Drosophila melanogaster: one gene and its partner. The protein of the gene in region 2 interacts with the protein of the main gene of each other region in a biochemical or structural test. Each region holds a gene or a part of one and is shown on either strand. Other genes may lie near its edges.

Region 1 (9,431 bases), on a different chromosome or scaffold from region 2:
GCCGGCGTGGCTCTCAAGCCGACACTCAGCCTCATGGAGGAGTTCGGCATTCGGGAGCTAAAAATGATGTAGTATAAGAGCTATTCCTTTGGCTTTAACTTTAATTTTTACTTTGGAACATCCTACTTTGCTTTGCATGCGGGAACACAACAAATTGTTTATAAAATATACGGTTCAGTATGTACACAATTGGAACTATCTTGGGCGCAGGCTCTCCGCCAGTTGGTCAGTCTAGTTGTAGTAGTTGCTGGAGTTCTTGGAGGCCTGTATGGGTCTCCGTCGCCGCGGCAGTTCGTTCTCCAGTATTCGCCAGCGTTCCGGTGGCCACACGATGGCCACTGCCCGCGCGGACATCAGGCCCAGGGCGACGGGTCCAAAGGTATTGCTGTCCATGGAGTGGCCTGTGTGATCGCCCTCCACCCAACAATGTCCTTCGGGTACGCGAACGATCTCGTGCTTGTAGCCCAGCGTGGACACGACGTCGCCCTGCAGCCCCACCACGCGCTTGATAATCTTCTGGGCGGGATCCTTGGGTGAAATGAGCGATATTATGTCGCCGCGCTCCACCTGACTGTTGTGGGTGCCCCAGCGCAGCAGGAACACATAGTCCTTTTCATCCGGCACGGGATTGAGAGCGGGCTGCATGGAGATGCCTGCAAAAAGTTGTGGATTAATTAGCGCACACTAACATGGAGCGAATAAACTCCGGACGACTCACCATCCACCCTGGCCACATAACCAACGCAGTCCAGGAAAGTGACGCCAAGTGGCAGAGCGTACAGCAAGGACTTGCCAAAGAACCGAAATGCCATGGATGAACTGGTTGGAGAGCGGAGCTATCGAGATGAATACATAACCACCAGCCTTTTGCCGAGTTCCTTGTGCGCTCCGGATCTTATGACATTCGCAGCGCAGCGCCGACACGGGTTTTGTTTATGCTAAATACAGGGTGCTTCAATAAAGGCGATGCAGAGGTTCTTGAGCAGATTACGTTTATTGAGGAAGGATATTTGCCAGCTATTGTACTTTAGTTACAGGTGTTTTTTTCCGTTTTGGGTTTATTGTAATTTTGACAGAAACAGGAATGTGACTGGGCAATCGTTCAGCAGCCCTCCAGCTCGCTGGGAATGGGTATCTCGTTCTGGATGGCGAACTGCAGCAGCGCCTTGTACTTGTTCTTCCAGTTGGACACCTCGCGGCGCACCTGCTCGTTGTCCTCGTGCATCTGCTCCAGTTCCGTCCACTCGTACGACTTCTTAGTCTCCAGCTCGTCCTTCTGTTCGATTCTCTTGATGCGGCAACTGGCTGCGTATCCGCGATTCTTTAAGGTTCTCCGGCGCTGCTTCATCCGAACGATCTCCTCGCGGTTCAGGCCACGCATCTTGAGGGTCCGATTAAGATCCCTTACCGAAATGCTCACCAAATCGTCATCGGTAATATCCGGAATTGGACATGGCGAAAGTGGTGCCTGAAAATCGCACTTCTATCAGGGTTTTCTTTCTTCTTCGCATATATCTACAAGGTACGTACCAGGGATGACTTTCTCTCGCGCTTTGCTTCCATTGTGGCCGATTGTATTTTATTTTTACGGAGACTTTTAGAATTTGCTAGATTTTTCTACCTTTTTTTTTTGCGTTGTTATTGTGTGTCTTCTTCTTCCTCTCTACCTGCTGGTTGCCATTCACAGGAAATGGATTGCATAGAGTTGGCAGATAGACAAAAAACGTCTGTGGTAAATAGCGGGTAATTTAAATATACTAAAGCTAACGTGATCCCTAGATTTTAGGCTTTGTAGCATAAGGTACTTAGTTATATTTTTAAATTATTTATATAAAGCAGATCCAGATTTTTGTTATAAATACAAGTTCGAAAATAACAAATTTATATTTTAATTATTATCAATTTTAATTAACTGTTAAGTTCCGTGCCTTCCAGGTGGCATCGCTGGCAAAGTTTAAGAAGCTGCCTAACACTAACAGCTTTACAGAAGTTTTTTCCCCGAACGACGCCAACTGTTAGCGGGAAATATTCCTTCATCCTGCAGATGCCAAGTCCTTATTGTTCGCCATGAACTCGCAGGTGATGTACCACAATGTGCCCACACCGCCGGGCAACGTATCTTTGGCGGCCGCTGCTCCCGACGGCGGTTTGCTGTACGCCGGCATTCGCTGCATCAACTACATATCCGCGCCGCCGGCAAACGGAGAGCAGCCCCAAGTGGTGACCATGTCGACGCGGATCAACATACTGGCCCTGGACGTTAGTCCCATGTGGGGCTTGGGCAACGGTGGGCCGACCAAGCCATTCGCCATTGTGGGCGACGATCTAAGCGTTCAGGTGTGGGACTGCGCATTGGGCGAAGCCGTCATCGGGCACAAGGCCCATCAGCACCAGCACGAGGCGCGGGATGTGCGCGTCGTGCACCACACTACCAACTCCGTGCTGATGAGCTACCTGGCCAATGGTAACATTCTATCCATGGACGCCAGTGATCTGGTCATCTATTGTGTGGCATCCAACACCTACTGCCGTCGCTCCACTTTCATCTCGCCCCGAAATCACCAACTCACTATGGTGCGCTGCTCGCCCTACAATGACAATTTGTTCGCTGTGGGAACGGCTATGGGTAATGTGCTGGTCTGCGATCTGCGCAAAATGAACATCGTCTACAAGTTCCACGGCCACAAAGCGCCCATATGCGGCTTAGCCTGGCGGGAGGTGCCTGCTGCCGAGGACGAAAAAACCAATAATCTGGCGTTAAGTGCTGAAGAGTGGCGAAGCCGCAATGGCGGCCAGGAGGAGAAACCCAAGACAAAGCCACCACCACTGACCAAATCGAAGGCAGCCGAATCCGACGACCCTTTCGACATATACAACTTTGATCATCTTGAGTACGAGTTCGGTGCACCTATAGCTGAACGCCGCCGCAAATCTTCAGAGGATTGTGGCGGCGAATTTGTGGGTCTAGAGAAGCCAGCTGGTGCCGCTGTCTTAGATTTCGTTGAGGCCTGCGAGAGTGTGAAAGCCGAACTCTTAGCCAGTCGCCAGGAGGATAAAACGCAGCACGTGGAGGTCACGCTGCATGACTGCGAGCCCACAAAGCCTACGGGTCCCTTAAGTGATGCCAGCACCATTAGCAACAAGAACGATGCCAGCGACTCGACCGAGGGCAGTCTGGAGGTCATCCAGTACAGCTCGTCCAGTGATGATGCCGTGATCGTCGATGGCGAGGCAGCAAAGCCCAAAAGAGAAGTATTGCATCACATCTACCACCAGGCCGAGGTACATGCTTCAGGAACACCGCAGACCAAGTCTGAGCCTCAGAGTAATCTCCAAGTTGTGCCGGCCATCAGCGCGGAGACCATCAGCTTGACATCCGTGAACAGCACCCACTTGGAAACTCTGCTCGTGTCCATTGACGGCGATGAGGTGATGATGATCTGGAATACCAATACGGGAGCGCATGCTGGCAAGAACTACAGCAAAAGCAAGACGGCGGGTAAGTGGAAAGAATCAAACCATTGAAAGCAAGCATTCAACTGGGATCTTTTCTTCAGGCAAGCTTAACAACGTCTACTGGCTGAACAACCATGTCATTGTTTCCCTGAGTCGCCATCAGTTATTCTTTTGGTCCGTGGAGTTCGAGCGCAAGATGCTACGCTACAAGATCAGCAAGGATAAATCACACAGCTGCCATTTGCAAGACATCGTGTCCTTTGCCTGTGACTCCAGCAAAGAGATGATATGGTTGTGCAGAAACAATCGCCAGATTGGAATGATGAATCCTAAAACTGGCCGGATGGCTGACTTTTACGGAACAGTGGCGTTTGGAGTGCGAGCGATGGCCGAGTGTCCAGATGATATGAACAAGTAAGCTAATAAGATAATATGCCATTCGCAAACGTTGCTAAACTGTTTTTCGTTTAGAATCGCTTTGGGTTGTTCGGATCGCCGTGTGGCCTTCTTCGATATATCGAAGCTCACCACCAGCTGCCTGCCCATCGACAGCGTTTATGTGTCCAGCAACGTCTACTGCCTGGCTTGGAGTCCAAACTGCTTGGAACTGGCCTTTGGCACCTTCGACGGAACGGTATGGCTTTGATTTCGTCTATTTTATTGGATATTGAACCTAAATATACAACTCAACAACAGGTGGGCATCCTGGATGTGGAGCGCATGAAAGTAAAGACACACTTACGGACGCCGCACAAAAAAGAAGTCTACTCGCTTGTGTGGCAGGACCACTTTATATACTTTATTGTGAATCGTGTTCTAGGTTTCTTTGATTTAAGAAAATCGAAAATCGGTGAGTATATGTTCTTAGCCGTTCTCTACTTATGTTGCCGACAGTTGTAGGTTTGATTCTGTGCGTTGCGCCTTCCGTAACTAATGTTGGTCTGCGCGTCGTTGGTCTGCTTCTTACGTATATTGGCCAAGTGGATTGTCTCCCGATGATAATCCCACGCATTCCATGTTACGTTTATCCAGTTTGCTGGCGTTAGGTCGTTGGTGACGACCATTTCGGTTTGACACTCAAAATCTGTCTGCTTTGGTGGCTCAACTACCAGATTCTGCAGTTCCTGCTCTATTAGCGCATCGTCCAATTTGAACAGCAGAGCCAGGTTCGCATTGTTGAAAACCACTTTTCTAAAGGCGGCTATGAAAGGCTCAAATCGCAGCTCCGCGAATCGAGCGTATCTTGGGTCCCGGAAACCAAATGTAATGTCCACATTGGAGCACAGCTTTCTGGTCACCTGGGCCGGCATAAGCAGGCCGTTGGTAATGGTCATGGCTAGAGAGCAAAACTCCTTTATATCTGCCTTGTTGAGCTTGCAAAAGTTGCCATCGGTCTGCAACTCCTTCACGGCATCCATGCGTTCCTCAAAGCTGCAGACCTTGGGCTTCTTTATCCGCTTATGAAGCGCCTGCAGCTCGGCAATCGTAGCCTTTGTCAGGGTCATCAAGTCGTCGACGACCAATGCCTCCACCTGCTCCCTCAGCTTGTTTAACTCAACAATGTGGTTCAGGTAGTTGTTCAGATTGCCCCACACCTGAGAGAGGTACACAAAGTGCGGCTGAAAGCGGGAAACGAAATTGGAGAAATTCTCATCTTTTAAATGAATACATCACTTACAAATATAAGCTCCGAATCAATAGCCGTGCGCATGGATAGGGTATCATCAATCTTGCAGATCACGCATTGATATCGCTTATGCTCCACTTCAATTAGGTACACTGTCTTCTGGTAATGTTCGTTCAGAGTCGTCAGACAGCGATGGAGCATAAAGTAGGTCGCCGCAAACTGGTTAAGCCGATCCAAATGTTCGAGGGGCACGCGGTAGGTCAAGGTCTCGTCCTTATGATCTATGTTTATGAGGTCATCCAGTGCCGCCTGGCAAGTGGACTGCATCTTGACCGCCCTTCCCATACTGGCTGCAAATGCGGCTTCCGTGTTCTTCTGGGCCATTTCCAGATCATCGACCACTAAGAAGTATACAGCAGATATGAAATATGAAATGGTTTGCCCTATATGCACATACCGCTTCTAACATTCTCCCGATCTCCATCGGGGCCATCGTTGTTATAGATCACAATGCCGCCCACGGTCGCCGACAAGCGTTGAAGATACTCTAGCCGATGGTACTTCTTCTTCAGGACATAATTCTGTAGGTCACTTCGACCGATGACGCTGTTGAGAGCCTGGGCAGTCAGCTTAAGCAGAACATGATTCTTGGGCGAGCCCAGACTGTAGCAGGCCACTATGAAGACCTGCATCTTTGCGAAGAGCTGGTCCAACTGCACTTTACTGCAAGTCTCGGGATACTGAAGGATATCCTTGATTAGCAGCTGCAGTTCGGTTTGGAACTTTTCCTCGTACTTCTTCTTGACGTATTCAAGGTCTATGGTTACTCCCTTTTTCATTACCCAAGCCATCTTCATGTTGGCCATAGTGCAATCTTTCGAATTGACATAGCTATCCACAATTGTATTCACGAAACCCTCAATGGCACAGGCGGTTGGCTTATTGAGGTCGTACTTCAGGAGACCTTTGCGCCGATCTCTTGCCAGCAAATGAACCATGTAGATGACAAACTCCTTGTCGACCCTGAGATCCAACTGTTTGAAGCGCTTCATAATACGATGACCAATGCTCACTAGAGTTTTGTGTCGCGGCATTTTGGTAAACAGAACAATTTAACCTATTTCGATGAAAGGAAATGTGTAATGTGGTTTGCTTGCTAAGTTTTTGATACGTGTGATATTTGTTGCCCTTGGCTACAGTTTAATCGATTTCATTTTCTTCAAGTAGCACAAATTACTCATGCCATCGAGCTTTTGTTATTCGAGACTTTTAGGCTTGTTTTAATTAATTGTTTCCCACAAATCATTAAAATGATCGCACAATTAGGTGCGGACCTAAAAGACAACAATGGACTTAAAACAAAGAGTTTTTCGTCATTCTGACTAGATTTAATTGTGTTTTAAGTTAATGGATGTATGTATTACTTAAAGGTAAAGCTAGTCAAAGATACATATAAAGTTAATTTAAAATATGCCATTATTATTTTCTTACAGAGCCCACAATTGTGAACTGCATTTCTCGACCCAGTTACCTCAGCATCCGCGATTCTTTCCTTTTTGTTGGCACCGATGATGGACTGCTGCAGATCCATGAGCGCGATTCGGGAATGGAGAAGTCGTGGTCTCCATTTATCCGCCAATCCGCTTTGTTTGCTCGTTATGTGACCGATATCGCCTGGTGCCCGCTGGACAGCAATAAGTTTGCAGTGTCGGGCAACGATAGGTCCGTGTACGTGATGGAGTTTCAGCCCACGGAGCGCAATTGGAAAACGCTTCACACATTTACGGCAAACACAGAGAAGGCGTCGATTACCTCGATGAGATGGAGTCATACCCAGAAGCACTTGCTGCTCACCTTTCATATCGAGGGAAAGGTGTGCCTGTGGAACTGCAATGCGCCAGAGAAGCCACCGCTAACCATCACCTACCACTGCCCCATGTGGTGTGGAATGTTTTTGCCCACCAACGAGAACATCATTATGTGCTCGGGAAAAGCTCTCTCCGTGGAGCTAATTGACATTAAGGACGCGCTGGAAGGCGATGAGAAAAGCATCTGTCCCAAGGTGGATGCTCTGTTAAATGTTAAGTGGGCTAGCAAATCCCTGACCCAGCCATACGCTCCAGTTCTCACAGCGGCTGAAAAGAAACGGCAGCGCCGGGATCAACGCAAAGCAGCGGCTAAGCTCGAAGTTGACGTAGCTAACAAGGATCAAAAGAAAATTCAGGAGTCAGTTACTGCAGTTATTGATAATCCAACCAACGATAAATGTACGCAAGAAACTCCTGTTGAAGAGATGTTGGAAGCGCTTAGCTTGGACAAGGAGCAAAATAATAGAAGTGCCAAAGAATGCCCAAAGTGTAAAGAGCAGTCACCTGACAGTTTCACAGTAAGTTATCCATGTGCTCTTGATTCGACTGAAACCCAATAACATATTTACCAACAGCATAGCCGCACCTGTCTTTACCTTACCCAGAAGGAGCTCAACAAAAGTGCCCTTGAGAAGCTGGCCATTGTTCTTACAGAAGACTCTGCCAAGATCGACAAGTCGGTGCTCATATCGAAGCTGTTCAGCTCAAAAGTGATGGCCAAGGAGCTCATTGCAACCGAGTGTAATTTCACTAACTGACTTATAGTATTTAAAATGCTAACGATAAATGTAATATTTCAGTGACCAATCTGAAGCACTCAAACACCAAAGACATAGCTCCACTTTGCCTGGCCATGTCCACGTTCAAATTACGCGAGGAGCTGGAGCAGCATATAGCCAACAAGACGCTTACCGAACGCCATGTTTCGCTGGCTCCCTCCGTTTCTTTTACGTAAGTTTCTACGTTTTTGTTGTAAATCGGTTTTGTCTTTAGTCTATATTTCTTGCAGACTTTGGCAGGACTGCTGTCGCGCTTATGCCAAGCAGATGGAGGAAAAAGGCTACATCATGCACGCAGCTACGTATCTTTTTAGTCAAGGAATGCAATCGGAAGCCATCAAACTGTTCCTGGCCAATGAATACTATAAGGAGGCCCTTGTACATGCGCGTATTTGCTTGCCAGCAACGGATCCCCTGATCAAGACCGTAATTAACAATTGGCTCGAGCATCTGGAGGGGACGGGTAACTTTGCAGCAGCAGCTCTGATGTAAGTGACTAAAACTAAACTATAGACAAATGTTTAAGCATCCTTTCTGAATCACTTAACAGCTGCGTTCTGGACAATGAGATGCTGCGTGGATACTCCTATCTAAGAAAATACCGCAACTGCACTCCGGAAATTGCCGATCTTATGGACCAAATCAAACGGATTGGCCAGCTGGGCGGCGTTCTAGATGGTTGTGCTCCCAATGAGCCGATCCACAATGGATCTACTGCCGAGCATTAAGCCTTAAATCAACATTTTTGTAAGCGTACTTTTAGCTGAAACTGGCTGTACTAGTGTAACTCATTTGAAATCCCCCGATACAATCATAAAGCTATTATCTATTAGTTAGGCATTTACAAATGTTTTCCATTAATTTGAATAGCCAGAAACTGTGTGGAATTGAAACCGATTTGAGTCGCCTTTGCTATACTTTTATTTTAATTTAATTTACCCTTAAGAAAAGATGAATACAAGATACATATATCAATGGCACAATAGCTAGTAAAACAAACACACACAAATTGAATTTCGAATAAACGAAAAAGCGAGAAAAAGAAACCGCAGCTCCAGTGGGCTTTAATTAGAACAAGCAGCTGTTCCGGCGGCCAGAAACCATCAGTTATCAGGCGTAAAAGCTGGCCCAAACAAAAGTATGACCGTTAGGCCCCATTTTCGTCTGGGCTTTGGCATCACATTATGCAAATGACCGGGTTCCCCAGCCCGCCGACAGCATCACTGCCGCCAGTTGGGAATTAAGTTTTAATTGTTGGAACAAGAGTCAGGGCGACTGAACTTGCTGCACAACAGCAGCAGCAGCGAAAACAAACGAAACCAACAGAAAAATGTAAATCAACAAAACGACACAGGCCAGAGCAAAACTCTAGAGCGCTAGAGCTGGCAAACAAAACTTCGGGCTGTTGTGCTCTTCAGTTGCCAAACAGCCGCCGTAGCCGACGCAGTGGTCGCAGAGTCGTTCGGCGAACCAAGTTCGTTTCCTCAGTCTTTCGAATTTCACTTTTAACCGTTTGCAAGCGCGCCAAGTTGAAGCGTACGCGTACCGTTAGCGCGGCACGTTACGAAGTGAGTGATCCACACACATATATCGACCATTCTCACGTCCGTCAACTCTGACTCTGACTTGACCTGGTGCTGGTGGCCAAACCGTTGTACAATTAAATAACAATCAAATTATAATTGCATGCAAGCACATTTC
Region 2 (7,847 bases):
GTCATAGTGCGCATGTCTATACATAAATATTTGAATTAAATAATATAATTAAGGATTTAGGAGTGAATGACGTTCGAGAGTCACGAGCCGAGGTGGTAATTCCATTTCTTTCGCAATCCTTTTAGCTGAGTAACGGGTATATAATATTCGATTCGATGAAAAGTCTTTTTGTTACATTAATTTATTTGAGAATCAGAATTTCTGTTTGTGCCATTCGTGCTTGATAAACGCAAATTTTCAATGCACAGTTTACGAAAAAAAAGCGATTATTAATACAATTTTCCTGATGTTCTTATCCAAGGCCTCACAAATTCCAGGTAATATAGATTAATATGATTGATAAGCAATTTAAAACTTATCAACGAGGTAACATTCTTTTTCGGTTGGCTACAAAAGTTCAACAGCAGTCCGAAAATGCTGCCAATAGTTGCACAATCATGAACAACAGTGGGTTGCTGCAAATGCAACCGCAGCAGCAGCAACATTTAGGCAACATGTTTCTCCTCTTTTTTCTTGTCCCCGCTTCACCTTCCACCGCCTGCTGAAAAGTGGCGAGTTAAGACAAGAAATCGGCCAAAGTGATCATGTTTATATAGACATGTATGTATAGACAAACCAAAAACGACAAAGGCTGCATACACACAACGGTTTGCGAACCAACGGCTGCACAGTTGCAGCAATCGAAAAAGTTGCCAGTTGCAAAAATCAAACAAAATGGCACAATAACAACGAAAAGGCAACAGCAACGACAGGCAACTGCAGCAAATGTCTAAAAGCAGCAAGTAAAAACGAATGCATCCAGCCACCCGCGTCTCACTACCCCCACTTCATTATGTAGCTTATTATCAAGAAACTTCAATAAGGCCAATTCGGGACGTCCAATAGGTTTTAATAGTAATTCTAGTAGGTTTTTAATACCAATTCACATTTCACTCAAGACATCACATAGTTAAAAACCTATGCATGCACTCCAAACCGAACCTTGTTGCCGGTAGTTAATTGAATAACTACTAAATAATTATTAAAATTGTAAATTGTAAAAACGACAAGCAATTATATTTGTGTGTTGTCTTGTTCTCTTCGGTTTAGAAAGAGTGGAATGCATATATTTTTTCAAGCTTTTTTTCCCCGGAGTTCTTGGCGAGGTTACAACAAGGTAAACCTGCTGCCATGTTGTATCTTTCAGTTGTATTTTTTACCATAGACAATGGAACAAAGCAAACCCGTTCTCGCTACTTTCGCAGTTTGCCTGCTAGAATAGGAGAAGAATTGTGGTGAGGAGGTCAATGCTGCAATTGTTAACTGCTAATTAGCAGCCAGAGTCAAAGCCAGGGAGAGAAACAGCATGTATCAACTTATGTATTGCAAGAGTGGGTGGTGCACTGCCGAGGGAGAGGCACGGATGGCCGAAGTGGGTATCAAGGCGGTTGGAACACCCGAAGGCATATTCGAAAACCGGTTAACAGCTGGCAGCCAACTGACGAACGAGAAATACATCACCGAATGGGCAAATCTCAAAGACTTTACAAGTTACAGATATTAAGGCGTATGGGTCGGGTTAATATAAATATCTGCATGCACAAAAAGAGTTACCAGAAGCAAAATTTTTTTTTGCAGAATTGGAGACCAGGCTTACCACTCAAGCCCGATAATTTATTGCCTTCTTCCACTCATTGCGTTTGTAAGCATGGGCAAATCCCTACATCAGTTGCCAGTTCTTGTAACCGCGTCTCGACGGCAGAATCGACCGCCTTTAGCCAGAGTTATGACCCCGAAAGCTGTAAATTAACCTTTGAGGCCGCGCACATTTAAAAGGAGTTCAAGAACATAAACCAGCGTCCGCAATGTATAATCCGGAGCCAATCAACTTCCAAACTCGCGGTCAACCTTCGGACAGACTGAATCCCAGCTTACGAAATGAGAAGAGTTGAACGGTAAGAAGGCACGGTAAGAACGGCTGATAGACACAAAAACCGCAAGCGACGCAGTCAAAATAATAATGAGCCCGACATTTAAAATGGTTTATGAGACAGCCCCTTCTGCGGCTCCTCGAAAGCACAAGACTTGGCCCAGCCGCAGCCTCATCAGCAGCGTTGTCAGCCGCAGAATTGGCGATTCTTCGATTTTTCTGGGTCAAGCACCACGCGAAAGCAGAAAGAGCTAAAGACTTGGCCCAAGAAATGTGTGGTAGAGGTAGAGTTCAAAACGTGCCTTGGCCGTACTATTCAGACATGCAGTGCCTTCCCACCCTCTTATTCTCCCTGATCGAGACCGTCTCTGTTTCGTTGTCGAAACAATTTCCGGCGGCTGCACCGAGAAAAATATAACGTGTAACGATGATCGAACAATAAAGACAAGCGAATCTATACAGAGTCAATTCGGAAAGCTTTAAGTTTTCTAGAACCGAACATAACACATGTTTAATTAAAGCCTTTATGGCGTCCTTTTTGCGCTTTCAGAGCTCGGTAGAGTTGAATGTCAATGTAATGAGCCAGCCAAGTTCGGGTCATAAAGCCTCTGCCACATGAAAGTAGTTCAAGTACTCAACGGCGCCGTTACATTTCACTGCTTATGAATTGGGAGTCGCCCGGCCAGACAGTCCGCCAGACGACACTGACTTCCCGATGTGTTAATAATTTTGTTTTGATTTCAGGGATTCGAAAAGCCTACTTTGACTCTGTGGAAGGGGATAAGAAAATATAGCGCTTGAATTGGGCCTCTTGGATCTTTAAATTTAAAGGACAAAGGAATATTAAATCACTTAAAAAATGGTAATTTTTACAGCCCCTATATTGTTGTCCTTAAATACAAATGAAATGAAAGCATATGGTTTATACGATTCGCCCAGTTTTCACGATGTTCCTTTTGAAATCACATCAAGTTATGGGATGGACATCATGGACATCAATTATGGGAACATTTTGTTTTTAAGGAAATGAGATCATCTTACCATTTTAAAATACCTAAAAAATTATGGGAACATTTTGTTTTTAAGGAAAGGAGATTATCTTACCATTTAAAAATAACTAAAAGTATTCCAATTGTCCCTTTCTCAGTCTATCAAGATTTTAATGTATTTCCGTTGCTGTGTTGATAAGATTTGTTACCCAAAAGCCAGTTGGGATTTCACGTTTTACTCGTTTTGTTCGACTCACATTCTAGTCACATTTTCATAGAGAATTCGTTTAATTTGCGTGCACATTATGCGTATAACATTTCTTGTGCAATATGTACCCGACTGGAAGCCACTTGATGCCAATCGAGGAAATTATTGCACGACAAATATCGGATTTTTCACCTGTGAATTAATAACGGTAAATTACTCATCCAGCGTCGCGGCGGGCGCACTTGTATGGGTTAACGAGCGAGCAAGCAAGTCAACGAATTCACAATAAAATAAACAAAATGCAGACGCGAAAAATCGACGAAACTTGTTGGAGCTGAAAACGCGGAAACTGTTGCAAGCGAATCGAAACCAGAAAAACTTTTCTGCACACTCTGTCCAATCAGAACAAACACTCGAACTCTTCTCTCCCACACACACTACACCAGCACTCACACGCACAAGTTCTGCTCTTGCACTTGCCTCTTTCTACTGCTTTCTTTGAGTCTTGGGTTTTATTTTACACGACTGCGGCGCTCTTGTTGCGTTTTCCTCACCTTTCGCAGAGTTTATTGACATTTTCAGCGTTCGCTTTGTGCGCTGCTTTCTTCGTGCGCAATCTCTTTTTTCTCTCGCCAGTCTGTTCGCTCTTTCTCTCTTTCCCTTTCTTCTCTCCGCTCACAACACTTGCTTTTTTGTTTACAATGGAACGCTCGCACACACACACTGGTAAACGGGTCACTCACACGCACACAGAATAACCTTCAATTTTATCTTATTGCGCGCGCCCCAGTCACTCGTTATTCTTAAACTTTGCCGAAATTAGGATTTGCTTTGGTTCGCTGCTGCAGCTTTAAATATCAATCAATGTCTTTGCAATGCTGGTGTGGTTAGAAATCCACATTCACCTCGACGCCTCTTCCACACACCCATACACGCAGCCACGGACGACCTTTGCGGTGCGAGCGAGACGACCCGCCACAAAAAACTCCACTTCCGCTCTCTCGTTCACCCGTTGTGCTGACGGCGAAAAGGTTTTCGAATTAAGTACATACATATATTCTTATTCACTTATTCACGGATTTAACTACATATGCCACTGTAGGCGCTACCACTCTTTTTCGCTCACAGCATGAACGGTGTTTTGCGCTCGAATCCGATTCCACAACCGCTCTAGCGATCACACGACGCAACACAGTCCCGCCTGCGACGAAGTAGCAAAATGTTTGTTTTGTTAGTGGAGCTCTCGGTCTGTTAGCGAGCGTTGCCACCTTTCTGCGAGCTGTTGCTGCACACTGCCACTTTACGAACACAGATCTGATAGCGGGACAAAATACGTCAAGGCAGCGACGGTGGGTTACTAGTGAATTTGGAACGGTGGTCTTACGACGTAATGGTCTTTTATATTTTCATTATTTTTTAAATTGTCGCTCATTTACCAATAAACCTTTTTACTTTTTCCTGATAGTCCGAAGTCAGATCAAATAGGAAGTTTCACAAAAAATTTTCATCCAGAGAAAATACGCCGACGCTATTCGAGTTTTTTGTATTCGTTAACCGGGAAAGAATAGTTCGAATTCGTTCGCACTTTATCGATAGTAGATTGCTATTATGGAGCCCACTTGTAAAATAATTTAATTCCAGACTGATAAAAGCGATCAACTTTTGTTAGTGGTTTAAGTCTATGATAATACTTAGTTCAAATTGTTTCAAAGTAGTCGATAATTTATAATAACAGTTTTAGATGACCTCTAGGAAATAACTAATTACCCACATTCTTCAAGAAGTGTTTTCAATTTGTTCTATAATTAAATAACAGTTGTATTAATTATGTAAATATTGTTACTCATAATACAAATTAAACAATATAAACACACATAAATAAGAGAATTGGAATATTTTGTCTCAGATTAGATTTTCCACACGGGAAATTTAAATCACCACGTTTGGTAATATCGTATCGTTTTATCCTAAACGAAACACGCTTATTAATACATAAGCTAATTGTTTTTATACCCGTTACTCGTAGAGTAATAGGGTTTACTAGATTCGTTGAAAAGTATGTAATAGGCAGAAGGAAGCGTTTCCGGCCATATTAAGTATATATTCTTGATCAGGATAAATAGCGGAGTCGAACTGGTCATGTCCGTCTGTCCATATGAACGTCGAGATATCAGGAACTATAAAAGCTAGAAAGGTTGAGCATCGACTCGGCTTAATAAGAATATATTTTATATCTGTTAGACATTTTATCGGATGAATTGTAACAGGTATAATAAACGATTTCTTATATATCGTCAGACATGTGTGTATATTTTGAACGAAACAACTTAAATTAGTTTGTAATGTTATTTTATAAATTCCATCCTAATAAATATTACTGGATTTGCAATGAGTTCCTTAGAACATATTAGTACTCGTGTTTCACTAACCATGTCCATCAAGCTGACACTGCTATGAATGGGTATGTGTGATGGGTATCTGGTGGACAAGCTCTGATCTAAATGGTGTTGTCCATCCCAATAGCACTGACTTGTCTGTAGTCTAAACTGTGAAACACTCCTTTATTACTGAATTCTAGATAAATGTACATACATATGTATACTACGGAGTGGTTGCGAAATCAGAGGCAATCAGATATTGAAGCAAGTTCAAGTGACATACAATGGAATTGGTCGTGTATAGCCGCCTATAAAGACATTAATAGACGACCCCAAAGCTCTCATTTAAGCTTAGCTTTAGTTTTCGGTAGATACAACTTATTAGTGTCAGAGATATTGAGCTTTGGTCGGCCACTGCATTTACATTATTTATTGCGTAATATTTAAATTGATAAATTGCGCATATATGCTAATGCTAAGTCTTCAATCCATATGTTATATTGTATTTTCACGCATTTTTAGATGAAGAAAACATTCTTGACTCGGATCGACTACGATCCACATTGGCATATGTTTGCCGTGCATAATATGGGTATTCTCCATTTAAATGTCTTTGGATGTGGTTAGCTAATTGGTTAATTAAGTGAGACCGCGGGCAGAAAATATCGACGAAAATACATTTTTGTGCAAGACAAGCCAAGCCACGTTTCTCATTTCGAATCGTGGTTGCTGTGTGAATTTTTTAAAATTGGAATTATTAAAACGGATTACGCCTGTTTTATTTACCATTTGCGGCTCCTTCTTTTTCTGTAACAAAAAAATATGACACTGGTGGTTTAAAGTAGGCTAAGCAAATTCGCGATGCCTCATGAATAGGTTTCGCTTAAGTGACAGATGCTTTCAAATGCAGCATTTTTGCATTGGAAATTAAACCATATGCGAGTCTGCGATTAGTAATATATCAATAAGCAGAGCGCCGGGTGAGGGTCGATCGCAAGCGAAAAATGTTTCAAAATGTTTAAATATTTTTGGAACGTTGTCTTTGTGTACGTATTTCTAAAAGTTAGTTACGTTTAAGTATATGGGTACTTTTCTGAGCCCAGTTATCAATCAAAATGTAGGAATCATATTTTCGTAACTATAGGGGACAATAGCTATTAAACGCTTTAGAGGCTGTTTACAAAACAGTGAGGTGTCACAGTCCCGAAAAATGTTGTCTCACGATTGGGCAAAAATGCCCTTATAATGCCCAATCAGATTCAGCTTCAGCTTGGGTGGTTTCCACTCGACCCATAAGTGGGGTAAGTCCCATTTAATATTCAAAATAATAACCCCACATATGTGTGTATATACGTATATAGGTGTGTGTCCGTATTTACAAGTTTTCTGAGGCTAACGCCAAGCTGGTAATCCTTGAGCGCTTGGTCGAGCATGTAGTTTGGTCATTAGCACCGGCTAATAGTTAAACAAACTGATTTCCGCTAACTGCACCGGCGAACGCATATCAGTTGACCTTTGACATTAGCCGGCAGAGGCCCTTTAATCGCTTCGTGGCCAGCTGCCTCGCATGCAAATGAGTGTTGGCGTGTCCCGTGGCCGCTCGTCGGCGGAGTCTCGCGGCCAAGCTGCCCTATTGACATTGCCAAACCCGTCCAAATCCCCCGATATCAACGAGCGGCTGCCGGCGAACTGTCACGGTCTTAACCCCGCGCTGGGCACTAAAAAATTGCATCGAAGACTGCCCGGGCAGTTGGTCTGCTCGGGTTGGGTTTCTTGTGATAATACATTTTACTGTATTAGCATGAACAGTTTTCCAATATATCGAAAACTCCCCTTGTTTTTCTATGCATCTGGGTGTGGTTTCTTTGTTAGAGCTGTCAGTTAATTATAAAAAGTGTGCTCCCATATGAATGCTTGGTCCAAATAATTTAAAAAAAAATAACAGATCTCAACTTTTGCTTTAAGAAACTAAAATACCCTAAGCAAATAACCTTTAAGTAGAATTTAATGTAGTTTAATTAATTAACGACTTAATCATGTATTAAACAAGGCGAATATTATAGTTTTTTTTTTTTTAATTCTCCCTAAACCATATTCAAAACTTGAAAATTAACGTTTCTTAATGTTAATACGTAAGATCAAAGGGAAAAATAAAATAAATATATCTTTGTTTCGTTTTGATCGCCCAACAGCCGCCTCTGGGTTAATGATCACTGCTCCGCTCTCTTCTTAACTGTCTACCTTTTCTTCGACTAGAAGAAGCGCCAGGCCCACACCGAAGACGCGAAGACGGATATCCAGCAATAATAATGGGCCAGACCAAGTTAAGCATGGCTTTTGGTATAAAAGTGCGGGCCCATCTG

What was found.
Region 1: the proteins of Hr39 (region 2) and rig form a complex in vitro, tested with the Drosophila melanogaster proteins (one study listed by BioGRID).

Annotation. Positions count from the first base shown.
Region 1 is NT_033778.4:20,633,218-20,642,648, reverse strand, and holds rig (rigor mortis), read left to right. Parts: upstream 1-1,967; 5' UTR 1,968-2,067; coding exon 2,068-3,499; intron 3,500-3,557; coding exon 3,558-3,870; intron 3,871-3,927; coding exon 3,928-4,090; intron 4,091-4,152; coding exon 4,153-4,306; exon of another isoform or gene 4,307-4,331; coding exon of another isoform or gene 4,332-5,075; intron 5,076-5,134; coding exon of another isoform or gene 5,135-5,484; intron 5,485-5,540; coding exon of another isoform or gene 5,541-6,177; exon of another isoform or gene 6,178-6,257; intron 6,258-6,576; coding exon 6,577-7,469; intron 7,470-7,526; coding exon 7,527-7,692; intron 7,693-7,751; coding exon 7,752-7,902; intron 7,903-7,960; coding exon 7,961-8,218; intron 8,219-8,280; coding exon 8,281-8,458; 3' UTR 8,459-8,773; downstream 8,774-9,431. Other genes in the region: Tcs1 (Threonyl-carbamoyl synthesis 1), read left to right, coding at 1-72; CG11110 (uncharacterized protein), read right to left, coding at 232-653, 719-812; maf-S, read right to left, coding at 1,103-1,483, 1,531-1,563; CG13436 (uncharacterized protein), read right to left, coding at 4,332-5,075, 5,135-5,484, 5,541-6,177. UniProt on the Drosophila melanogaster protein: Component of the survival motor neuron (SMN) complex that catalyzes the assembly of small nuclear ribonucleoproteins (snRNPs), the building blocks of the spliceosome, and thereby plays an important role in the splicing of cellular pre-mRNAs.
Region 2 is NT_033779.5:21,233,732-21,241,578, reverse strand, and holds the start of Hr39 (hormone receptor-like in 39), read right to left. Parts: upstream 4,330-7,847; 5' UTR 4,175-4,329; exon of another isoform or gene 4,159-4,174; intron 3,299-4,158; 5' UTR 3,014-3,298; intron 1-3,013.